Linked DNA regions of Oryzias latipes. The protein of the gene in region 7 interacts with the protein of the main gene of each other region in a pairwise test. Links are inferred from orthologs where the notes say so. Each region holds a gene or a part of one and is shown on either strand. Other genes may lie near its edges.

Region 1 (3,975 bases), on a different chromosome or scaffold from region 7:
AAACTACTTTAAACAACTTGTGGGGACACAATAACAGCCAGTGGTGTGCAAACGCTGTGTAAAGACAGTTTTCATTTATTTTTTCTGACATTGATGTCCTGGAGCTAAAAAAAAAAAGAGGAAAAAAAACAGATAAACTTTGTCCACTTGCTTATCTGTTTCTGCCTCAAGTTTCTGCAGGCGATACTGAAGTTCGAGTTTTTAAGTCCAAGTCCATGTCTCAGGTGGCATCTAACCTGCAGCTGCCACATAACTGGGAGCATTAATGAGCTGTGAGCAGTGACCCTGCAGCAACCACTGCTAACCTCTGCAGCCACCACTTTAACTTCTGCAGCACCACTGAGGTGCTATTTTGGTCTGCTCCTAAAACTTTTTACAAGATACTTATTGTATTCATAAATCTGGAGGTCCTTTGAACTTTGCCATAAACACACGCATCACAATTTATTAAAAAAAAAGGTGACTTTTAACATGAGCAGACACATAACTTTTCATTGGAAAAGAAGCTTTCACTACTGTTTTTGAGTGATGGATTAAATAATATGGCTTTAGATTAAATTTTAATTATTTTAACTATGATGGTATAATTTATATTTTGTTTTCCTGAGCAAAAAAGGCTTCTCAAACCCTCTTGCCTTTAAAAGGATTTAAGCGTCTCTACAATGAGATCCAGCAATGAATGATTACAGCGATTAAAAAAAGGTCAACTAGACTTTTACGTAGCATTACATCATTTGGCAAAGTCTTGTCTCTGCCACTCAACCAAAACAGAACCTGGTGATTGTCTCATGACAGCATATTTTAAGGTAAAAGAGTTTCTGCTGGTGTGTGCGCGACATTTTGGTGCCAGATAAGCCTTAAAATCACTTTATCTGTTGCTTCGACTTAAATAACACACCCTCCAGCAGTGCACGCCCCTTTGCATGATTTTGCCTTAATCCCTGTTTGAGCAATCAGTAACATTTACTGTCACCGGGTTAAATAGCTCATCAAAGCATGACAGTATTTGGTCTCCAGGAGAGGATAACGATAAGAAAAAGGTTATTTCTAACTTTCTCTGTTCTGGTCTCATGCTTTGGGACACACAGAAAGGGAGAGGGGGGGGTGTCAACCTGACTTTTCAGTCATGTGTTGACCTAACTGGATGATCTAATGACTCACCTTCCTCTTGGCAGCTTTGGTTGTGGAGGTTGTGACCTCCACAGAAGCCAACAGCACACAGAGCCTGGAGGGATGCAGAACAGAGGGGGAGAGAAGTGGCAGAATCACAGGATTAAAAATGACAGCAGCTGAATGGGGTTCTTTTTCTAAAGCACATCAGTACTCCATGACCTAAAAGTGCAGCTAGAAGCCATTCACGTTCACACATAAGACTCTCATTATTCTAAGCCTATGTGATCTGTCTCAAATATTTTCCTTCAATTTACATTATTTAGCTGAGGTATAGGAATGTTCCATTCACTAAATAACCTGTTTCACCTGAATGGAAAGGTGTTTGTCGGGAAAAGTGATGACAAATCTCACGATGACCTCGGGGTTCAAACGTCTCAATCAATCTGGGAAACTCTTGGAAGTGCTTACAAGCACTTGCGTGTTTTCCCTCTGCACACACCCGGAGGATGTGGTTTTAACACTAATATGCAATAACCACACACAGGCTTAATGAGCCAACATCGAAAACAATCTGGGGTAGGACGGTTTTCCTGCAGGGAGGTCAGGAATTGGGATAACTCTAAGAGAAAATTAAGTTTTTTCTTTTTCTGTAGAAGTGTCAAAAGCTCACTTGTTTGTGTGCGAATGTCGGATCTATTTAGAAAAATCTCACCCATACACAAACATTCTGAGACAAGTGCAGTGGAAACAAGTGGAATAACGTCCTGCAGTCTGCCAAGAAATTGCTCTGACCGTGCAAGTACAGCCGGGCTCGCTGGGATAAAGTTTGCAGCGCTCACCAAGAGAACCAAACCATCACCGCAATCTCCAGTCCGCAAGCCACATGTAGGCAGTGTAATTGGTTCGTTTTACCCAATGTGGTGCACCGCCGCGGTCTCTGGAAGCTTCCCCACGCTGCAATACACAATTACCCCCGAAAAACACAGAGAAAAGTCCCGGACAGCCCGACACAACAGAGCTGCTCAGGCCGAAATAACGACCCCCTACGCGGTTCCACGTTTCCACGGCCGCTACTGCAGAGTAAACTCACTGAGAGGACAGGGAGAGGGTGAGAGAAACCTTTAACTGACAAATACTTTCAGAAAAGTCCAATTTGAGTGGAAACACACAGTTTTTACTCAAAAATGCGCGCCTCTGGGTAAATTCCAACCATTTAACGCAGCGAGCGGCGCGCAACAAGTGAGCCTCGCGCGTAAAAGTTTCCCGCACCAACAAAACCACCGTAGAGACAGTCAGCACAAACACTCAAGGAAAGATGCAAATCCACATGCGGCGACAAGAATCAGTCAGCAGCTGGACGGGACCGACTTTTACCTGATCAGTGAACCGAGCTGCATGCTCCAAAATTCTCCTGCACACTGACACTCTCAGTGATGCTTTGGGTCCAAATCTGAGCTTCGTTCCAGCCTGAAAGACATGCGAGGACTGCTCCTGCTCTGTCACCGGGAGGAGTTCCGTGTGTTCCGTTCAGTCCACAACTTTTCACAGGTCCTTCCTTATTATAAACTCCCGTGACGCATGAAAACCAGGTGGGGGCACAAAGAGACGCAGGGAGAGGGGAGACACAAAATGGACAGATTATACAACTCTCGCTCGGGCTCCTTCTCACTCTCACATGCACAAATTATACACTCCCCCTCCTCTCCCTCACGCCTTCCTACCCTCTCTCTCTGTCATACTCACAAACTGTTGGTCCTGACTAAGCAATAATAATCCTCAGAGCCTCGTTTTAGTTGCACAATCGAGAAAGAAAAAATAACGTTTCCTTGTGCGTTTTCTCCCACACTGAATAATAATGAGCGCAGACGATCCTGAGCCTTCTTCAAGAAAGTTGGGAAGGGACTATCTCATGAGTCTGACACTCTGACAAGCTCAAATGATGTGGTTTACAGTTTGAATATGATTCATAGTCCCCCCCCCCCCCATTCTTGAAAAACAAGCAGATATTTTTACATGAGAAAAACATGCATTCTGTGCACTGTTTAATCCCATTGAAACACCAGAAACCAAACATGCTTCAGCAATTTGGTGTTTGGGATAAGTGCACCCAGGAGACAAGCCACTTCTGAGGCTGAAATGTGCCTCTCTGAGTGTGTATGATTACATATGTGTGTGTGTGAGGGCTGAAACAGATGTGAAAAACCATCTGATGCCATCTCATTTAAACATGATGAAATGACAATCCACACAGCCCTGCCCAGCCAGACACTTTACTAAAATGAGTAACTTAGGTCAAATGACCCTCAGGAGACATGGTGACACACACACACACACACACAGGAAAAAATTATAGGTTCTTTACAAGATTTCTCCAGCGGCACGTGTACAAGAAAGGGCTGGTGATTTCTAAACCAATAAAACGTAACTCAGTTTGAAGGAAAAGGCTCAGGATGCACACAAGCCTTTATGGAGTTTATACTGTTCACTCAAATCAGGACTGGCATCAATGTAATATTTGAAAGATGACATGTTTTAAGAAATTACTCCAAAATGCTTAATTTTATATTGAAGTCTCCTTAGTCTTTTAATCATGATTAGGCCGTTTTAGGCTGAATTTAAAAAAAAAAACACGTGTCATTTTCTAGGACATAGTTTCTGCAAAGCAGCAGGAATCATTCAGAAATTCACCTCTGAGTTGTGGGCGGCACTGTTGGTGCAGAGTAAGCCTGCCCTCCTTTCCCATCATCCCTTTGTTTACCCGCTGTGCTGCTAGCTTACAGCCCCTCAGGAATTGGTGGCGTAGGACCTAAATTGGAGGAGAGATCAGGTGTGGTGGCAGTAACCATAACATATAATAAATAC
Region 2 (3,500 bases), on a different chromosome or scaffold from region 7:
CTGGATCGAGCACGACATCCACGGTGAGCGCCGCAGTCACAGAACCTCACGCGACCACCAGCAAGATGAGACAGGCTGCAGGTTTAAGGAGTTTTAGCCTTCATTTTCATTCTCCCGTTTCCAAACAAGTGAACGAAGCTTCAATCTGTCAAATATGTGTTGACCGCTAGCAACTTTAGCATTCTTTGACCCTGACAGGATTTCTTTAACAAGAAAAACATTCATGTTTTTAATTTTTGACATACAGTAATCAGTTCACTTATCAGATTAAATGTTTTGCAGTCAAGAGGCAAAAGAAAAACCAAACAAACACATTTTCTAGCTGTAGTGGTTGTTTTTGGAAGTAGCATTTCATTTAGCATAGCTAGCTTTGTTCAAAATGAATTAGCTTTCTTTAAGCTACAGAAATGTAACATTTCTTATTTGAGGTATTTAAACTTTATTTTGGCTTAATGATAAAATAGCATAATTAGCTTTTCTATTATTAGTCTTTTTTATTTTTTGTCAGATTTTTATTTTTATTATGTTGAAATATTTCAAGCTAGGTTAGCATTCAGCTTTCACGTGACATTTTTACTACTGTTTAGGATTTAAATGTTGCCACTATACACAATTTACATGACTTTTTATACCATTAATGAGTTAAATTAGAATTTAATATTTTCTTTATTGCTTTTTCCCCGATTAGCTGTTAGTCTATGTTAGCTGTGGTTTCTTTCTGATAGAGAGAGAGATGTACACTACTTTAATAATTCACATTAAAATAAAGACACACTTTACATGAAAATAAAATAAAATAAAGGCATAGATAGATAGATAGATAGATAGATAGATAGATGCATACATTTTTTAGTATTTTTTATTGTTTTTTTTTAGTCAAACTTCTTAAAGATTATGTTTAGCCTAAAAGGCAGGTTTTTTTAAAACAGGTTAAGCTAATTTAGCATTTGGCTAATCTGTAGCATCAATTGTTCTTGAGCATTTTACAGCTTTTTTGAAAAAAAATTCTTCTGTATTTTTTTTAGCTTGATGAAAATATAGCATCATTAACTTTTCTGTTATAAGTTTTTTAAGTTTTAGCAAAGTTTTTTTTTTTTAACACTATCCCACGTAGACTTTATTTGAATATTTAAACACGATGAGGGTAAAGAGGTTTTAAGGTTCTTTATTTATGTTTGTTACAATTAGTGGTTAGCCTGTGTTAGCAGGCGTGCTGTTACCTATGCTAATACCCTACAAGTTGCAGGTTGAATCGCAGGTGCTGAACAATATGGATGTGTAAAGAGACCGAGCTAAAGTAACACATTGTTTAGTAAATAACATCCAAGAAGGTTCTCAAGTCACCTGCATTTGAAAACACCTCCCACATCATTATACCACCACCACCAGCCTAAAACATTGATATAAGCATGATGGATCCCCACTTTTGAGTTTTACATGAAATTCTGGCCCAAACACCTACAAGTTAAGGTGGAATCAGGCGATTCTTTAGTTTATCCGTTTTCTTCCGTCCCTCCAGACAAGCCGATTTTCCACTCCGTTGAGCCGTACACCAAGAAGGAGCTGACTGCTGTTTCGCTGCCCGACATCATTCGCACCTACAAGGTGATGGCGGCCGAGAACATTCCAGAGAACCCGCTGCGCTTCCTCTACCCCGCCATCCCCAAAGACAAGGCTTTTGGGAAATACTACCCCAAACCCCCAGAGCGTAAGACACGCTAGCGGATCCGTCGCGCCCTCATTTCTGAGCGCAGACTTTCACGTCTGTCCCTTCCTCTTTTAGCTCAAGAGCCCATGGACGTGGAGAGCTCGCAGCCCAGTGGCTACATGAAGACAGAGCTCATATCCGTTTCAGAAGTGTAAGCGCCGACTGCAAACGCCTTCAGAAGTTACTGACACACGTGCTTCTAACAAACCGCTTCCTCCACCTGGTTCAGACCGCCGTCCAGGCTGCAAGACAACATCATGCCCATGTCTCCGGACGACTACAAGGCACTGGAGCAGTTTGTGGGCCACAGAGACATCGATGCTGTGGTAAGACAAGATACACATCCAGTTCTGTTCACAGTAAGAACGATAAACCCACCACATTATTATTATTTTCATCCCTAAACTGCTTCAAAAGTGCAGAAATTTCTCCTTTCACGTCAATGGATTTTCAAAATAAAAGCTTTTAACGTTTGATGAACACTGTAGGAAAATAGCATTTTGTGGTTTAAAAAAATCACTGTCCAAACAAAACAAAAAAAACTTAAAACACAAATTCTTTCCCATAGAAAAAGGGACCCCAATTTGCTAAAAAGTCACCAGTATAAATAGCATTTTAAGATTTGCAGATAAAGTACTGTTTAGTATTTGAAAATATGGACTAAAAGAGGAAGAAAGATGAAAAAAGTGTTAAGAAAATCACGTTTTTTTTAATGATTCTTAGTCTGTTCAACTGCAAACTTTCTGTCTTTCTCTCCTTGTCGCGCTCTCAGACCAACAATCTGATGGACTTTGGAGGGTTTGACGCTCAGGTACACCCCCAGAGTTGATGGTTCACTCCTTGTACTAACTGTCAGACTCCTTGCACTCCTTTATTTATTAGCATGCCTCTCTAGTTTAGTCAATGCACGGCATTAATGCATGACGCACAATATTTGCTAGTTTGTTGATTTATCCATCTGATCAGAAATGAGAGGATGGGCTCAATTTCTGTAGCTGTTCTAGGAATTTCCAAAGCAATAACCAACGTTAAGTTGAAGCTGCCTGAAATAAAGAAAAAAAAACAATATTCCTGTATTAATGTAAAAAAATATCTGTTGCAGACCTAAAGCAACCCTGATCTGTCTCCTTGCTAGCATGGCCTGCGCTAAAAATGAAACGCAATAAAAATGAGTATTTAGACAAAAAATACCTGTTAGTAATACAAAAAATATTCAATCTTTAAAAAGAAGATAAACATAAGAACAGATTAAAGGCTCCAGATTATGGGTAAATGCTAGAATTGAGGGTGAAAATATATTAATATTAATGAAGAGAACAACGGCTTTGCGCAACACTTGACCAACGTAAAGTAACAGAAAGTCGCTTCCCTCTTCGTGAATCCATCGTAATTACGTTATTTGTGTAAACAGTCAAAAACGTTATCATAGTTCGTTTAGGTGTCGTTTAGGGTCAGATGTTACTCTAGCCTTGACGTTCTTTGAACTACCGTACCTGGCGCTGATATGCGGCATTTTACAGTATTGTAGCCTTTACGCAATTACCGTAAACCAGCTAATTCTGACGCGGAAAATGTTTTGCGTTGTTTATGCAGACGTTTATTTCTTTATGTCGCATATCAGCATAAAGCCTCTTTTTATCCATTGGAATTACGATAATTGTGTAAATGGTTGCAGTAGTTCATAGAACGTGTTATTTTGCTGTCGGCAGAGTTAAAATGCTAAAATTACGAGATTTAAAGCTAAGTGCTAAACTAGATACAAATATTTTATTTTGGACAAAACATTAGCGAA
Region 3 (2,500 bases), on a different chromosome or scaffold from region 7:
CCTGGGGGTTGTGGCGCTGACAGGGCCCAAATGCTAAGGTAGTGGGGGGGGGGCTTTCTGGGGGAGCCCCTGGCCAGCACCCCACCCCCCACCCCCCATCACAGCAGGATGAGCTGCTGCCCGGCCTGCTGAATATTCATAGCCGCATGGCTATTGTGACAGGTCAGCTCTTATGAGGCAGTGAGAGAAAAGAAAGTGTCACACAGCGTAGATGACATGCAGACCCACACACCTCCAGCAGCCTCACGCTGGATAAGCAGTGTGCTTCAATAACTATTTATGCATTGATAAGCATTGACTTTATTCTTGACGCTTTTCCAGATACAATCATATTGCTTCTGTTTTTAGATATTCCTGTGATTCCGGACCTTGATGAAGTGCAGGAGGAAGATCTGACGATGCAGGTTGCTGTTCCACCAAGGTGCTCCTTAAAGTCACCCCCCCCCCAACCACTTTAGATTCAAATAAATATGAACTGTTCGTCCCAGACAGGCGGGTGACAGTTAACCCTTGACCGTGCCCGGGATACTTATAAGCAGGCTGCTGTGGGGACTGTGATGTCGCAGTGCGCCTTGCTTTATGTGTCTGAAATAGAGAAATAACAGTTTGATGTGATTTATGCAACTCCGTTTCCAGGCCCCGTACTACCCAGGTCCTCTGATTTACAGGGCAGTGAGAGACACGGCGACATGTGTCGACAGTGTAGCAAGGCTATGACAGTGGTGGAGGTTATTAGGCTGGGGCTTGCTCTCTGTGAGAGATAATATCCACATTGAACTCATTGCAGGGGCAATGTAGCGTATAATGTGCAGTAAGTAGGACTGGCATGCGCTGCTAGGTCCCGGCCACTTTCAGAGCCCCCCCCCCCACTTAATTTCAACCCACTGATAAGCAGCTGGGTTTCAATTTGAAGCGTTTAACAGTTGGCAACCATCTTTTTCTCTCTGTGGTCTTTGCTTGAAGTCCTGAAGCTTATTTCAGAGGAAACCTCAAACTTATCTGAAGATATTTCTCAGATTTGTATCAGATAAAGTGAAGGCATAATTATTTTGGTACTCTTCTTTTCTGGCTTACTTTTCTTCATTGTTCTGACTTCTTTGTACTCTCAGCATCCACGTGAGCCAGGTGATGACCTACAGAGATCTGGACAACGATCTCAAGCATTACTCTGCTTTCCAAACTTTAGTAAGTCATGGCGTTTGGGTTCATTCATTTTTCAAGATGGCCTCTTCAGCTCTGTGATGCTCATCAGTTACTGAAAATCAGGAACTTTTTACATCTCTCCTTCTTCAGGATGGAGAGATCGACTTGAAGCTTCTCACTAAGGTTTTAGCCCCAGAGCAGGAGGTGAAAGAGGTGAGAATATTTTTTTTTCTTTTTTAGTAAATATAGCTCCTGAGCTCCACATAAAGAACTGCCCAGCTGTTCTGAAAGCACCAGTGGAGGCTGCCACTCTTGTCTCTCAGGTAATCAAGATTTATGATGTGTACATTAACAACCTCTGCTCCCCCCCACCCCCATTCTCCTCTCCTTGCTCTCTGCTTTTCCTTCTTGGTGTGCTTCCCTCTGCTTCCTACACTCCTGCTCTCGGCCTCTGTTCTGTTCCTCCTTGCTCTTCAGGATGATGTGAGCTGGGACTGGGATCATCTGTTTACAGAGGTGTCCTCGGAGCTGCTGATTGAATGGGATCAAGGAGAGAGCAGCGAACCAGGCTTGAAGTGACTTTGGATCCTTTAATTAAAGTTTATTTTACTACTTCTTTACACAGAGTTGTATTTTTATAAATGTCTTTAAACAGTTTTGTTGCCTAACTTTTTTTGTATATAAACCCACAAGGTTTTGAATTGTTTGTTAAAAATAGCAGTCACAGATAAACATGCCCTCTCTGTACCGACAACATTATCAACAGCAACATACAAGTCCAAGGTTGATAATCAGCTAAGCTGAAATCCACTTGATTGTGTTTAAATTAACATTCCTCATTAAAGCCTACAACCTTATTGTTATTGACTCTGCCATTGACTTTATCTTGCAGCTCTTCGACAGGAACAGCCCCTTCTTCACTATTATCTCAAATGCATTGAACAGAGTTCCGATTGACACCTGAGGGATTAACATACATTATACTTTTTTTACTGAATCAAGAGAATGTGAAATCTTTCTCAAAGTAGCGAGCAAATTCTACACAGGCCTGTTGAAGCACAGAGTGCAGACTGCGTTTGCTCTAATTCCCTTCAGTCATTTGTGGTTTGTTAAATATGTTGCATGTCGTGCTTCAGGCGTGCTGATTGCATGTATCAACATTCAATCTTGTCTTTGGTTCATGCGTCTGAATATAAATGCGGACCTCCAAAGTCCAGGAAGGTCTATGAGGAAATGGTTGTAACATTTACAGATGTGTGATTAAGTTTATTTCAGTGGCAGAGATCAGTCTGGTGGCATTTGGAGATGCACAGCGAAGCCCTCAAGGACACAATGTACGCATCCAACAGCTCAATCA
Region 4 (4,100 bases), on a different chromosome or scaffold from region 7:
AACTGCTACTTCATTATTGGGTGAACATACAGGGTTGTGCAGTTGAAGAGCACATGGTTATGAAAGCCATTGTTCCCTGTTGGGAAAGTGGTATTGGGAAAAACAAAAGTGTTGCTTGGAAATTAGCTAGATTAGTGAGAGAAACAAAGATTCATGGTAAAACCATAGTAAAGACGTTTTTGTACCAGGCCACTCCTTTCTGGGGTTTTCCAACCGTGCAAGTGGATTTTTATCTCCACGGGTAGATGGAGAGTAGCAAATGGAAGGGACACTGGGATGAAATCCCAGCAGACAGTTTAGACACGTTACATGCCTCATTTATTCCCATATACACATGGATCTAAAGACCCAGAAACAAAGAGGACTGGTTTTTCTTTCTGTATCCTTACATCGGGGAAATATGTTGGAATCAAAACATCAAAGGATCTTTCAGTTTTTGCAGTTGAAATGTTTGCAATATCATTTAGTTTACACTGGTTAGAACAGAATAGAATTAGAGATGGTATCATTTGTTCAGACTCATTATCAGCATTGATGTCCTTGAAATATTTTTCTTCCGATAGAAGGTCAGATCGAATGTATAAGATTTATGAGAGTTTATTCAGGTTGGAAGAATTGAAGATAAGCATCAGATTTAAGTGGGTACCAGCACATAGGGGGTTGGAGGGAAATTAAATGGCTGATTTTCTGGCAAAATGGGCGTTGAAACGGGCGACAGAGATGGAAATTCCTTTAGGCAGAACGGAGATTAGGGCGATTATTAGGAGGCGTATTTTGGAAGAATGGCAGGTACAATGGGAAACGGAGAGGAAAGGTCGACATCTATTCAGTATTCAAGACAAAGTAGGGAAAGGTATGAATATCAGAGTAAACACCAGAGATCACGGCATAATATCACAATTGAGGATAGCACACACTGCTCTAAATAATACATTACATCTGATAGGGGGAAATCCAACTGGTTTGTGTGATTGCAGGAAAGGGGAAGAATCAGTGGAGCACGTTTTGTGTCATTGTGAATTGAATGGGGAAGAAAGAAGAAAGCTGGAGAAGAGTCCGGTTGCCAGAGGGTGAACGGCTGAGTTTGAAGAAGCTTTTGGGAGGGGAGGAAAATTTAAATGGTGCATTATAGGTTTTTTGAGCAGAACCAGATAATTGAGGAGAATATAGTTTTGTTTATTTATTTATTTTTTAAAGTTAGGTAGTCCCCCACGCCGATCCATACTCCAATACGGTAGGTGGCGGTAATGCACCTTGTTGTTGGTGCCTCCCGCCATTTAAACCATGAGAAGAAGAAGAAGATTTTTTTTATAGTAGGGCAGTCGTCCGCCATTTTCAGCACAGCGACTAGGGAATCGTTTCTGTTGTTCGATTCTAAAAGCAGTTTGCTGCGTAATTGTTTTTGGTAAGGCACACTTTTCCCAGTGAAAATGTCTAACGAGCAGGCCGAAATCACGATCGAGAATGCGAGCCAGGAGCAGCAGCAGGAGCAGCAGCAGGGGTGAGCCCGAATGCCTTTGTTGTAAGAAGCTAGCAAGACCGACTAACGTCGTTAGCAGAAATGGTACTCCGTCTTAATAACCCATGCAAACGACTGGCCAAAGATCGGATACTGCATAAAATAAAACACATGCTACAGTCGGTTATTTCATATACATTTATTTAAACGCGTGTTTTTGTGTTGCTGCGAAGCTTTTGTTAGAACGGGGGAGGAGTAGGGCCCACTTTACTTTGAGACTGGCTCGCGGCCTAACCATGTGGTTGAAGCGCAGCCTTTCAAGCCGTTACAAGTTCCAGTACTTAAATATATTAACAAGCACATTTGAAAAGTTTGCATTTGCGTGCTTTAAGTTGTTTTTTAAACTATAAAACTATGTAGAAGTTTTGGTATAAATAAAATATTATAACGGCTGTTAGCAATCCACGCTCCATGATGATGATGATCATGCACCGAAGACTAGCCTTGTTTTTGCATCTTTTTACCCTGCTATTATGTTGAAGAAAGACGAATAATGCCTAAAATAGTTACTAATGTATTGTAATTTAAACACTTATTGTTTAATATGTTTTATTCACTTAGCAATGTGTGTAAAAAAAGGTTTTTTGACTATTAACTTTTCTAATTTAGAGAAATGAATGGAAAAGCCAATTCTGACTCCAACCAAAGCAGGAAGGAGAGACCCCAGAAGAGGGGCGGAGGAGGCCGATATGAACCCTACGGCAACATAAACAAACGATACCGTGTGGTTGTCAGCAACATTCCCTATGATGTGAAATGGCAAACCCTTAAAGACCTGATGAAAGAGAAAGGTAAGGTTTTCAGATGGGGTGCTGGCTCATGCCAGCTCATAAGTTAGGGTAAGCATCCACGATTTTAGTGTTTGGATGCTGCAGCTTTGAAGGATTGGGAAAACAGTGTTTTGAGAATTTGGTGAGTTACTCGGAACAAAGGTTCAGGATTATGCCTCTTGTCCACCAACTCAGGTGTTGCTGCAGAATTGTACAAAGGTGGTGAATCAGGATGTTCAATTGAACATGCAACCCATTCTGACCATTCTTTAATCAGGTTTTTTGTGGAGAACGAGGCCACTAGTGTGAAAATCTGGATTTGATCAACAAGGACTTATTTTTCTATGAATTGCAACCTGTAACGACCAGTAAAGCTTAAAAATGCACCGTTTTTGAGAGATGTGACCTTTTAAATGTCCTGCTCGGCAGCAACTTTGAATTGTGAAAAGATGACTTTAAATCTGTTTATAAAAGAGTTGTTGCCTGTAGTCAAAGGAGTGCTGGATCATCATTGGTGTCATCGATAATCCAACGAAGTGAAGCAATCCTCGTGTTGACCAAGCGCTTTTAACTTGTTTATTGATAATTGTTTGTAGAGTAAATTGCATTCTCTTTTTTTAGGTGTGACTTGGACAAGCAAATGTTACTCATCAGATCCCCATGTTGTGGCAAACACAGCTTTGTGCTGTGGATGATTTTTGGGGTACAGGTCTACAAAATAAAGCAACTTCTTTTGTACTGTCCTTCTCCTCAGAGGTTTGGTGACTCTTGCCAATGTCCTATAAATACAAGCGATCCCCAAAAAAGTGTGGCTGTGGTAGATGCTGAACTAAAATTCAGACTTTATTTACTCTTATCTTTGCTTTAGTAGGTCATTTATAGCTTGTAGTTAAAAGAATGGTCCTTTTCCGCAGGGCTTGCTATCAAGAATATTGTCCATTTTGGGGGTCAAAAACATGGCGCTGCCAGTTAAAGTATGCTCAGGTTTGCAATGAAATGGGTGGAGGCTTTGTTCATCACGATTTTTGTCAATTTTCTTCATGTATTAGGTGGTTGTCAAGGTAGCATATCGAAACAGTTGGCCAATTTAGCAGTTGGTGTCCACAGTCTATTGTTTTTTGGTGTCTTGGTAGAACTACAGCGGGTGAAAAGGACAGACTAAGAAGTTTTAAGTTGTTTTCTTTAAAGAACCAAGCTTGCTTTTTGTAGACCTGTACCAAATTGTGTTGCTGAGGTGCTGGGGGAAGCTCAGGACTTGCAGTCTGAGCTCAGTCACCGGCCGTCCTCCTTGTTTCTGCTCTAAACCCCCATTGTTCTCTCGGCTTCTCTCCCCTTGGTGTGTGTCGTCTCTGGAATCTGATTTGTAGTGGGTGAGGTAACGTACGTGGAACACTTAATGGACGCAGAAGGCAAATCGAGGGTAAGTGCAAATACATACAAATAAAATATACAAGCCCAGACAAACTCTTGTTTGTCAGTTTTGGTTTCCTTGTTTACATTCCCGGGAATTGTTCAGATAGAAACTTGGTTGATTTTTGTCAGTTGGAGACATGTTGGAAGTGTTTTACTCGGTCTTAATCGTGGCACTGACTTGATGCAAACCTCAAGGGTTGATACTCTTGAAAACTGACTTGAGCTTTTCTCGAATTCAGTCCTGTGGGTTGCAGAAGTTGACAATGTCCCTACTGGTTCCTGGATATGCTCCTTGTGACCTTAAGGGTTTTAATCTGGAAGAGGTTGTTATAAAGTTGCTAGATGGTTGTTAAGCATAATGCCTTTTGTATAACTGGAATGTTACTGCTCCAGTACCA
Region 5 (3,500 bases), on a different chromosome or scaffold from region 7:
ATTAATGGTGCTGTGACATTCTTAGGAGAAAAAGTGTGATGTGGCATTTGAACCACACAATTCACGAAAAAGAAATTCTTTGATTAAGCGGTCACCAAATTACTTTCTGTACGGTTTACATTTAACACATTTCCTGCCTCAATTCAGGTGATAAATGAAATGGCAAATGTTAACCTCTGTGAAAATCTAGTTTCCGGTCTGAAGTAAGTTTTATCATGCAGGAGGATCAAATTGAAAGCTTTTTGCTGGAAAACCCAAACTGACACGATACTTTGTGAACCTCATGATTGTTTCTTAAACACACTGAGCCACTTGCCTCTTTCTTTTCCACAGTTTATTTTGATCATTGCATTATAAGATGTCACATCTGACATGTTTAGTCTCTTTATCCATCAAAACATTTACCCTTTAGCTTGGTTCATCGTTAAAAAACTGCTTAAAGTGGTGGTTCTGACTAAAAAGCAGGTGCATTCAGTTTCCATTAGTTTGTATGTCATTCCTGTGCTTGAATGATGAGTCAAGAGCCCGTTGCATGCTGTGTTACATTCCACTGCCCTCAACCCTTAGCAGAAGTGCTGTGGGTGTAAAAAACACATTTATGGATGGATATCCTCTGTTTATGTATTCTTGCGACTGACCTCTCTTTTTCCTTTTATAGTAGATGCAAAAACATTCGTTTATTTATTTATTTTGTACCTGATTCCTCACATTAAAAGGTTGCAGTGCATACCAAAGCAAGCAGTGGGCGGAAAGCAGCAACACAGCTTTCAACCAGACAACGAGTCTAGTTATGCTGTATTGCATTGCTCTAGTCTAGATCATCTTAACTCCCCTCATAAAAGTGTTTAGACACTGCCTTACATGCTAGGTGAGAAAAAGGGTAAAACAACCACAATGAGCATAAATAACATTTCCCTTCTTTGGTCTTGCCCCCCCCCCCCCCTTTTTTTTTTTTCTGCCAGACGCACTATGCAGGAGGAGAGTACATCATCAGACAGGGAGCCAGAGGAGACACCTTCTTCATTATCAGCAAAGGAAAGGTGAGGACAGCCCCGTGAGGCTGCAACCTCGATATAATCCTCATCGGAAGGCAAGGCATCGTGTCACATGAAAATGCCTGTCTTTAAAAGCAAAGAGGTGGCATTTTTAGCTGTCATCAATCACCGAGCGATAGAGGAGAAGCACATCCTCTTTCATCATTCCTTACAGCAGCAGTGGGAGTTTCTAGAAAGCAGAATGGTGTCACTTTGATTTTCCTTTTCAGTAATCAACACTGGCTTTTTCACTGAGCACAGTACTGTCTAGAAGTCACATCACCGCCTGTGGGCTTTCACATGTATTTCACACCACGATGGTTGCCAGTATTCTTTCTTTCTTCTAGCTTTTCTTGAATTCAGCAATTTTTTTTCCACCCCGCACATCAAGCAAGAACGTATTTTTCATTTTTCATTTTATAGGGACATGCTTATCGACGACAAACAGCTGTTCTTTCTGCTGGTAGTCCCTCTGAGCCTCAAAAGGCAGAAGTTGTGGGAAACTAACATTGGAAGTGTGGAGGGAAAAAAAAAAAAACTTCAACTTATTTTTAAATCCAAACAGAAAAAAAATTCACAAGCTGTCAAATCCTTTGACTCAGGTCACTTCATAGCCCAGAGCAAACAGATTAGCTCATAAATACCTGGACTGAGACATGAATGTCCGGACTTTACCGATGTTGCCTACTTCAGTAGTAGATTTACTCTGCAGCAAATCTTCCTTTTTTATTTTTTATGTTTTTTTTCCCCTGCTGTTACTTGATCGTACAGAATCGCTGTTAATTTTGTTGTCACTCAGCTGCGTGTCATTTTTGTATGCTGGCGGTGGACTTCCTGCTACACCTAATGGCTTAAGACAAGATCCTTCATTGGGCGAAGGGGTAATCTCATCCACTTCTTCGAAAATATGCTCAAGTGTCATTCCTTTGATTTGTAGAGTCTTGGGGCACAGCAGAGGGCCGTCACTCGCGTGTAATCTCCCTAATGAAGTGGTCAAGCGTTTGCTCAGGTCCTGCACAGTAATGACTCTTATCTGTTTGTAACAGACTCTGCTCAGGAATGTCTGCCACCTCTGTGTGCAATTCAATTCACTCTGTTTTTACCTCATCCTCTCGAAGCCACGCTTGTCTTTTCTTTAACTTTCCACCCGCATTGCCCTTTTCTTTTCAGGTTAATGTGACCAGAGAAGACTTGCCAAATGGAGAGCCTGTCTACCTCCGCAGCCTTGGGAAGGGAGACTGGTTTGGAGAGAAAGCACTGCAAGGGTGAGATCTCTTGAAATACCTACGCTTCCGATCCTATGAATTTCAATTTAGTATATTTACCTATTCTGTTAAATATCTTCTACTTCAAACTACTAAGTAGGGAGCCATATAACATTTGGTAAGTGACGCTGACTATTAAATGAGTTCATAAGTGTGTCAAACCAAAACTTCTGCACTAAAAAGAGGTTAACTGAGTGTTCTTGCACTATAGATTTGTTAGAATAAAAATTATGCCATAAATTTGAAGCTGAATGCTCATGTATTTTTATTCCCATTAGTACAAACAACTATAAGAGTTTAGCGTCAATCCCTTTTGCATGAGAGAAAAACAAAAGACAGAATTAATGAGAAACTAAAAAAAAAGGCAATAGTGATCCCTCACAGCCACAGTAACATCTGTGGTTTTTGCCTATATTTATTTCTAGCAGACAAGAAACTAGAGGCAAGAAGTCACTTAATGTGACAGAAATGTTGCATTTGTGTACCCATTGGAACCTCATTTCATTTGGTGAAACACGTCTTTTGTCTTTTCTTCTCAGTTCATTTCTTGGATGCCAAAGCTTTGAGAGCAAAAAACCTTTCAACCTAATCCTCAGCTGCTTTAATTAATTTTTTGCCTCCTTCCTCCATAAACAATTATATGAAATGCTGCATGTTTCTGGCGTTGCAGAAGAATTAGATTAAATGTGTGCAAAATTAAACATGATTTTCAATTATCCTTTCATAAAAAGCATGTGTTTTTAGAAAAACAGACCCTAAATCAGAAAAAGCTGAAATATGACCAAATTCTGGATGTTTTAGAACATGACGACAGAACTTAAACATGTAGGTAAGCTGGTCTGCTTTTGTTTCTTCAGTAAAAAAAAACAATAAACAAGAAAAGTCATCTTATTGGACACTGAAGGACACAATACAGTAAACCACTTGATTTCCTCAATAAAAAACATTATATTGTTTTCTGAGAAGGTTCAAAACGCATTAAAAAGCTAATTAAAAACATTTGAGCTCTGAATATCTGGACTCTGCTCCTTTCAAAATTGCTTCAACATGCAGTAATTTAGGACACCTGCTCCAAAGCATTTTTAGGATCATCTGTAGAGTATTAAGTCATCTTTAAATTGCTTTCAGCATCAAAGACGAGCACCCAAAAAAACACATTTTCCTCCTTTTCATGCCATTTGTCCGCTTCTTTGCAGCTCCT
Region 6 (3,259 bases), on a different chromosome or scaffold from region 7:
GGAACCGTTACAATTTAAATATAAGTTTTTAAAAGCTACACTTTATTAAAGAAAAGGCGTAGTGGGAACAAAGTGAACGTTTCTAAAGGCTGAAGTGGACATTTTTAGCTCTCGCTGGGTTTCAGTCTGTAAGAAACTATTTCTCCCCCCACTGCCTTTTCTATTCTTCTCTAATGAGAACACATTTTATTTAGAAACATAAAACTACACACAAACATATGCAGAAACATACACTCATGGTTAAAAACTCATTTGATTCTGTTTTAATCTTAATTCCCTTAAAAAAAACTCTTATTTCTGAACAAACATGTACCCCCCCCCCTCCTACAATTTAGTTTATCTTCATAAATATTTACAGGAATATCAGACTTTTTTATATTTTGTGTTTCTATGATTAAAAACAAAACAAACAGGAGAAAATATCTGCAGAAGAAGTGAAAACGGATTAAATTATTAGGGATTATCTGAAAAACGTTGGCATGTGTTGATAATTAACCTCTTCAGACCTACGTACACGGACGCCACATTTTGGGTTCTGTTACCACACTAAGTAAATCTGGGGCCCTGCGACCAAAGGGGGTAAATAAAATAAAGCCAAAAAAACTCAGTTTGAAAGGAAAGAGCTGGGAAATAATGCATGTTATCAACTGAAGGGGACAAAAGCGGAACGAATAAGTGAAATATTAGAAATCGATAGTTTGTGTCAAAGTTGTTGAGGCTGGAAAAGTGCAGCGGCGTCCCGTCTGGAGGCGGAGCGCGGCGTGGCCGGCCCGCAGGTGCAGCCTCTTGGACGCGCAGTGGGGCTGATAAATGGACGGATTCAGAAACCCGGCCCCCATCGGGCCCTGTTCTCCAGACCCGGGGCTAATCCTGGCCCCTAATCGGATTATGTAAATTCCTACTCCACACAGAGACTTTTTTTTTTTTTACAGAAGGCTGCGTCTTTGAAACAACACTTGAAGGCCGTAAAAAGACCACTGACGATTGGTTAAACCAGACTCCTGTTTTTATCTGAGCTTTAAAGTGGTGTTGGGGGGGGGGGGGGGATTTATGTGTGGCCCCTTGAAATGGTTCAACAAGATTACCATAGTCCTGACAAAACGCGCATTGTGGGACTGTCAGTCTGGATGTGGCATTTTTACCTTTTGTGGTCCAATCAGGCGGAGCTGCTGGGACATGAAGGTGTTTTCCTGGAGAAGGTCCACGCCGAACGTCAAAGAGGCAGGAGGGTCCACCGCCGTCACAGACTAACGTCTCAGTTTCACCTCGGGGATTTAAACCACCAATGAATCCTAAATCAGCAGCCGGTACGAAGCGCCTTTCATCATCACACCTCTCGGTGTGTTTCTGGTCCCCGGCGATCAAACTGGGCTGTGCTCTGCACCAAACGGCACAAAGAGGGGAGGCGACGTCACACAATGGAGCGCAGCCTGCTATAAAATGTGGGGCAGAAGCCTCCTCACCCTCACTCCGTCCCTTTGTGTCCCCGTCCTGCCCCTCATTAGGAGGAGGACGTGCATCTGAGAGGACACTCCTGCAGGACCCTCGTTCACTCTTCACGCCGTTCTTCCTCTGAGCAGGTGAGCACTCCTTCCTTCTGCTTCTTCAGGTTCACCTTTGATTCAGAAAAGTAGAGAAACGCATTCCTTTATCTGTCATCAGCATCATTCCAACATCCTGAACTTTTCACGGTAAACATTTCCTGCAGTTTTAGATGTTAAGATCCTCACAAACCTCCAGTAGGAATAAAATGTGCATCAAATGTTTCCAAAATGTTCGTTTGGATGAAGGAATCTGAAGGTTTTGAAGCAGATTAGATCACGTATGAAGCACAGAGTTGCAGTGAAACAGTCATTTTAAACCACGTTTCTAAAAAAATCTGCGTTTTGCCTCCGTGTCTGTGCTCAGCGCCATGACCAGGAAGGTGTTCACCAACACCAGGGAGCGCTGGCGCCAGCACAACGTCAACACGGCCTTCGCGGAGCTCCGGAAGCTCATCCCCACCCATCCTCCCGAGAAGAAGCTGAGCAAGAACGAGATCCTGCGCCTGGCCATGCGCTACATCAACTTCCTGGTGCGGCTGCTGGAGAGCCAGGGCGGCCAGCCGGACGGCCGCTCCCCCACAGCTCTGCTCACCTTCCTCAGAGGAAACATGGAGCAGCTGCGCTCCCCCCCGCCCCGCTGGACCGTCGCCAGCGACACCGAAGCCCCGTCGCCCGGATCCAGCTGCGACAGCTCCGAGGCCTGGTAGAGGTCTGGATGCTGGAGGAAAACACAGATTATGGACCCGAGCCGGGCAGAACCAGACCCGAACCCATGAGGCCAGAGGGAACCTACTGCCATACGTTTTCTGTCACGCCTGAAGGGATTCCGCTTTTCCACGAGGCAGAGTTCTGAGAGAAAAATGAAGGATTTCATCCAGTCCTGCACTCAAACCACGGCGGATCTTCCTCCTTTTCCCTCCGTTACAGCAGCACTTCTCTTCTCCCCAAACTAACTAAATCTGACCTCCTCCTCCTCCTCAAAGATGAAGGTCATTTCACTCCGGACGTCTCCCTGCTCCTTGTTAAGGAGCCGGGGACCCGGCGGTCCTCCTCCATCAAACCACTTTAAGGGTTTTGTCACACGACCAAAGATCCTGAACTGATTGTCCTCCGTCTGAAGCGTCTTCTCTGACCTGCTTGTAAGTTTGGCTCGTTGACAAATAGTCTTATTTATTTCAACTATTTATTTAATAAAGGATTCGTTATGACTTTTTCCAGCTTTGTCACTGCTGTCATTTAGAAACCAAAATGTATAAAAATGTTTATTTTTTCCTTTGGGATGCAAAAAAGGAAGCTTCTCCTGCTGATGACAAACAAAATCTTAAGTTTTGAGGCACAAAAATGATCTGATGTGTGGAAAATAAAATCCCAACACTTTCTCAAATGATTTCTAAAATTCATTCATGTCAAATTATATCTAATTACACAAAAAATTAAAATAACTTCTGGTATTTTATGGTAGAAAAAAGATCTAATGAGAAGGATCCCTGCACTTTCATTAGGTGATGTAGATTTAACTTTATATTTTATATAATGACAGAAAATGTGGAAACGAATATAGCGTTCCACTTGTTTTGCTTTGTGGATGAACTGGGATTCCACGTGGGTCAGAGGTCACGACCCCTGTGTCAGAACTTGCAGAACAGCTGAGAAAAGGACAGAACCCAAAAAAAAACCACGAACGTAAAATGCTAACATGACCACACGAGTTCTGC
Region 7 (4,052 bases):
TAGTCTCCGTTAGTCTGTTAAATTAGTTTAGCAGTGATGTTTTTCTGTGGACTCACATGTTTGCTTATATGTTTTTCAACAGTTCCTAGGAAAGCTAAATGTCAAATGCTTTGACATTTGTCAAATGCTCTTAGTCTTTCACAACCTCTTGTAGTGAAAGAGATCAAGTTAATAGTAGTAATAAAAAGTTAGCTTTTTCTGGGGTGTTTTTTTTTGTGTGTCTCTTTCGGGGTCACGGGGCTGCCGGAGCCTATCCCGGCCACTTGTGGGCAAAGGCAGGGGACATCTTTATATGCGCTGGCCTTTATTAAATAAATAAATATAAATAAATATAAATATAAATCCTGGACAGGTCGCCAGTCAGTTGCAGGGCCTCAATCACACACTCACACCTAGGGGCAATTTAGAGTAACCAATGAAATGTTTATGATGTGGGAGGAAGCCGGAGTCCGGAGAGAAAACCCACGCATGCATGGGAAAAACATGCAAACTCCACACAGAAAGGTCCCCCATTGGTGTTCTGTTTCAGGTCCCCCAGCCGGGACTTGAACTGGGGGCCCTTCTTGCTGCAACCAAGAGCACTAACCACTGTTCCCCCCCAAAAGGGTAGTTACAGTTCTGATAAATTTATTTTCATCTTTATGTTACCCTCACTTAATCAAAAATATAATATAGTAAAGTAACTCAGATGGTCTGGCAATTGTTTTTTCTTTAATGTCATAACCAGGGCTCTGTAGATCAGCTTCTCTGCAGCAAGATCTTGTTCTCCTGTTTTTCCAATTCTGTACAGTAATGATGCCACATTTATTTAACACAACATTAACCGAATAGGGGATAATTCCGATAAAGCAAAAAATAAAGTTCAGAAAAAATATGGTTTTGAGATAAAATATGACACATGTAAACATCTGATTCTATATAGCAAATTACACCTTTAATCCACATTTTATACTAAATTGAATGAAAATATATTATGAATTGTCACCCCCCCCCCCCCCCATTTCACACATTATATATTAAACATTTTAATAAACAGTTCAAACTGTTTGTTGGGTTTTTTCACTATTTACTTTCTATTGAACTGTTTTTCGTTTTGGATCCAGCTCTCTGTTCTGTCCTAATAACTTTCTCTACATGATGATGGAGCTGCGGGCCAGGACACTTGTCTGCTGACATCACGACGTTGGTTATCTTTGCTCCATCAGCGCCTCAGGGGGAGAGAATTTCCCCTCACGTCAGTGTCGGTCACGACTCCGCTCCACGCCTGACAGAGCAGCCGGCGCGAACTTCTGTCGCTTTAAGACCGATTTCCCCCCATTGTCAGGCAGTCGTGAACAGGAAAAAGAGCAGTCAGTCACAGAATGGGGTGGGGGGTCATCCGCACGTTTAAGGCAGCTCCAGTCTAACCCCCCCTGGCCTGTGAGCGAATCCGCGGTGTCCTGGATGGCGTGGAGGTGCCAGCGCGCGCGTCAGCCCCAGGAAATGATGACAGCGTCCTCCATCGCCGCTCTGCTGACTAGAACAATCGGCCTTTTTGGTTATTCCTCCGCGAACATCTCGACTGAAGTCATCTTCCTGAATCAGGTCGTGCAGGGGGGATCTGGGCGCCGGTAGAGGCAGGTGCAGCGGCTGCGCAGGAGCTTCCCGGGACGCCGCAGAGAGACTAGAGGCTGTGGAGTCCGAACCCCGGAGCTGAGGCGCAGCGCATCTGGAGAAGAATGGTATCCACCATAGAGAGGAAGACGCTGGAGGCCAGCGAGTATGTGCTTTCCTTTTCCAAAGAATGAAGCTCAGGGTTCCTTAAGGCTTTCAAGGACATTGTCATCACAATTTAGAAAGCAACCAAACGGCACGTTATTTTAGGAAAGCAACCTCTGCAGTTAGATTCCACAAACAGAAGGTCTGGAATATGCAAAAGGCTTAGTAAAAAAACTAATCTTCAGGAAAAAACACACTAGACAGCAGTACAATTAACTATGCAGAACGTTAGTTTTACTTAAGAAATCTTATAGCAAAAAACATAATAAAATAAAATCTTGAAACAAGAAGTTCCACAGTAGCATTCTAAAAGGGGGAAAAATGGGTTAAAAAATCTAACTATTAGAGAGAATTACTGAAAACTGATTGTTTTAAAGCCCAATAAGTATTTTTTGTCATAGTTTGAGGCAAATGGTTTGTATTTTTTTTAAACTAATTGCAGTTCATCTTAATTGCAGTGCCAAAAAAACGAGTGTAATAAATGGAAATGACTTATTTTAGAACAAAATGTGAACAAAACCAGAATACGATCTAGCACATTTACTTAGAACATAAATCTAAATGTTTGTTTTGAAATTTAATGACAATAAATGGCAGTCTACATTTAATAAACTAAAAAATAACATCCTAACTGAACCATAAAACACAACAATTTCAGTGCATTTGAGTCATATATTAAGTTTTTATTCTGTTAAGATTTGGAGCAAAATGATTTTGACTCAATTTATTAATAATTTCCTTATTTCTACATACTAGTTCCTAATGAGACATAGGAATGTTTTCCACTGTACAGATTTTAAGAAAATCTTGGAAAGGTGTAGAGCAAAAGACAAATAAAAACAATTTCCAACCAGTTAAAATATCTTGAAAGTCTAAAACCAAGGTTTACAATCAAGTATCTATAAGTATCCCATAGTTTGTAGTGTGAGAAAGGGGAGCAAACAATCTTGTAACAGTACAAAAAAACAAATTGTATTGTATACACTTTCCAAATGTATTAATTTAGTATTTTAATCTGAAATATGCTCCTTCTCCAACCTTGCAGCTCCAAGCTACAAGACAAAAACATAAATAGTAGCATAAACCTTTGCAAATCAGTTGATAAAGATAGAATTTATCGGGGCACTAATAATGACATTTTATAGAATATGTTACTTTCAAAAGAAAATTGTATCAATTGGATAAAATGTGTTTGTTTTTTTTGAGCTAAGAGGAAAATCAAATTAAATTACAATAAATGAAGACTATGATCGATCTTCAGGGAATTCATAGATGATGAAAGTTCAATCCAGTTGTTTTTAATCTTCTTTTCATTTATATCAGGGAGCCGGTGGACGAAGTCCTGCAAATGCCCCCCTCCCTGCTGACATGTGGAGGTTGTCAGCAGAACATCGGGGACAGGTTCTTCCTGAAAGCCATCGAGCAATACTGGCACGAGGACTGCCTGAGCTGCGACCTGTGCGGCTGTCGTCTCGGAGAGGTGGGCCGTCGCCTCTACTACAAGTTGGGAAGAAAACTATGTCGACGGGATTATCTGAGGTTGGTCTGATGTCAATGATTATCTGTTTATTCCCTTATTTGAACAATTTATAAGAAGTATGCAGATCTAATGGGATATTAGGGGAGCACTGTCTTTTATTCTGGTGAGTCAGTTGAATGGAGATGCTGGAATGTCTTCTTGTAACATTGTCTTCCTTATCGATCATGCTCCACTCAGGCTGTTTGGTCAGGACGGTCTGTGTGCTTCCTGTGAAAAGAGGATCCGGGCGTTTGAGATGACTATGCGTGTGCGAGACAAGGTCTACCATCTGGAGTGTTTCAAATGCGCCGCCTGCCAGAAGCACTTCTGTGTGGGTGATCGCTACCTTCTCATCAACTCGGACATTGTCTGTGAGCAGGACATCTTCGAGTGGACTAAGCTCAACAACAGCAATATGGTGTAGCAGAATCTCTGACTGCTTTTCAGGATGGGATGGAACAAACCAATATCGCGTGGGCTCTGAACAGAATCCCTTTTTGCAGCCCGTATGGGTTTTATCGACCAACACATCGGGACTACAATGAACACAATGTAGTGTTGCACCATCCTGTGGAAATAACAACACCAGCAATACGAAAATATTCCCAAATGCAAAAAACGTTTTAAGTACGAAAAATTCTTAAATATGCAAAGAATAGTTTTGAACTTTGTAGAAAAAACAAAACAAACTTTGTTTTAAGGTTGTAAGTTGTTTTTGTCAGGCCTTCATATCTACAAGTGGATTCAAAACTTTAATTAGAAACTGGGTTGTAAT

The links.
Region 1: the proteins of lmo2 (region 7) and thrombospondin type-1 domain-containing protein 4 interact in binary tests that used the Homo sapiens proteins (3 or more experiments, as listed by UniProt). The two-hybrid records come from large-scale screens. The link is inferred for Oryzias latipes from reciprocal best matches to the Homo sapiens genes LMO2 and ADAMTSL4.
Region 2: the proteins of lmo2 (region 7) and signal transducer and activator of transcription 1-alpha/beta interact in a two-hybrid assay, tested with the Homo sapiens proteins (2 studies listed by BioGRID and IntAct). The two-hybrid records come from large-scale screens. The link is inferred for Oryzias latipes from reciprocal best matches to the Homo sapiens genes LMO2 and STAT1.
Region 3: the proteins of lmo2 (region 7) and ift43 interact in binary tests that used the Homo sapiens proteins (3 or more experiments, as listed by UniProt). The two-hybrid records come from large-scale screens. The link is inferred for Oryzias latipes from reciprocal best matches to the Homo sapiens genes LMO2 and IFT43.
Region 4: the proteins of lmo2 (region 7) and hnrnpm interact in binary tests that used the Homo sapiens proteins (3 or more experiments, as listed by UniProt). The link is inferred for Oryzias latipes from reciprocal best matches to the Homo sapiens genes LMO2 and HNRNPM.
Region 5: the proteins of lmo2 (region 7) and prkg1 interact in binary tests that used the Homo sapiens proteins (3 or more experiments, as listed by UniProt). The two-hybrid records come from large-scale screens. The link is inferred for Oryzias latipes from reciprocal best matches to the Homo sapiens genes LMO2 and PRKG1.
Region 6: the proteins of lmo2 (region 7) and tal2 interact in a two-hybrid assay, tested with the Homo sapiens proteins (2 studies listed by BioGRID and IntAct). The link is inferred for Oryzias latipes from reciprocal best matches to the Homo sapiens genes LMO2 and TAL2.

Annotation. Positions count from the first base shown.
Region 1 is NC_019874.2:19,008,227-19,012,201, reverse strand, and holds the start of thrombospondin type-1 domain-containing protein 4, read right to left. Parts: upstream 2,801-3,975; 5' UTR 2,511-2,800; coding exon 2,488-2,510; intron 1,226-2,487; coding exon 1,162-1,225; intron 1-1,161. UniProt on the Homo sapiens protein: Positive regulation of apoptosis. May facilitate FBN1 microfibril biogenesis.
Region 2 is NC_019860.2:3,984,223-3,987,722, reverse strand, and holds part of signal transducer and activator of transcription 1-alpha/beta, read left to right. Parts: coding exon 1-23; intron 24-1,519; coding exon 1,520-1,708; intron 1,709-1,783; coding exon 1,784-1,859; intron 1,860-1,937; coding exon 1,938-2,034; intron 2,035-2,480; coding exon 2,481-2,519; intron 2,520-3,500. UniProt on the Homo sapiens protein: Signal transducer and transcription activator that mediates cellular responses to interferons (IFNs), cytokine KITLG/SCF and other cytokines and other growth factors.
Region 3 is NC_019880.2:13,343,686-13,346,185, forward strand, and holds the end of ift43 (intraflagellar transport protein 43 homolog), read left to right. Parts: intron 1-348; coding exon 349-421; intron 422-1,109; coding exon 1,110-1,185; intron 1,186-1,293; coding exon 1,294-1,356; intron 1,357-1,620; coding exon 1,621-1,722; 3' UTR 1,723-2,000; downstream 2,001-2,500. UniProt on the Homo sapiens protein: As a component of IFT complex A (IFT-A), a complex required for retrograde ciliary transport and entry into cilia of G protein-coupled receptors (GPCRs), it is involved in ciliogenesis.
Region 4 is NC_019862.2:8,453,058-8,457,157, reverse strand, and holds the start of hnrnpm (heterogeneous nuclear ribonucleoprotein M), read left to right. Parts: upstream 1-1,300; 5' UTR 1,301-1,430; coding exon 1,431-1,501; intron 1,502-2,128; coding exon 2,129-2,310; intron 2,311-3,656; coding exon 3,657-3,709; intron 3,710-4,100. UniProt on the Homo sapiens protein: Pre-mRNA binding protein in vivo, binds avidly to poly(G) and poly(U) RNA homopolymers in vitro. Involved in splicing.
Region 5 is NC_019873.2:20,229,321-20,232,820, forward strand, and holds part of prkg1 (cGMP-dependent protein kinase 1), read left to right. Parts: intron 1-962; coding exon 963-1,040; intron 1,041-2,204; coding exon 2,205-2,299; intron 2,300-3,500. UniProt on the Homo sapiens protein: Serine/threonine protein kinase that acts as a key mediator of the nitric oxide (NO)/cGMP signaling pathway. GMP binding activates PRKG1, which phosphorylates serines and threonines on many cellular proteins.
Region 6 is NC_019867.2:1,963,492-1,966,750, reverse strand, and holds tal2 (T-cell acute lymphocytic leukemia protein 2), read left to right. Parts: upstream 1-1,216; 5' UTR 1,217-1,307; exon of another isoform or gene 1,308-1,505; 5' UTR 1,506-1,580; exon of another isoform or gene 1,581-1,615; intron 1,616-1,734; exon of another isoform or gene 1,735-1,908; 5' UTR 1,909-1,912; coding exon 1,913-2,251; 3' UTR 2,252-2,759; downstream 2,760-3,259.
Region 7 is NC_019864.2:14,855,688-14,859,739, reverse strand, and holds the start of lmo2 (rhombotin-2), read left to right. Parts: upstream 1-1,252; 5' UTR 1,253-1,718; coding exon 1,719-1,759; intron 1,760-3,081; coding exon 3,082-3,297; intron 3,298-3,475; coding exon 3,476-3,701; 3' UTR 3,702-4,052. UniProt on the Homo sapiens protein: Acts with TAL1/SCL to regulate red blood cell development. Also acts with LDB1 to maintain erythroid precursors in an immature state.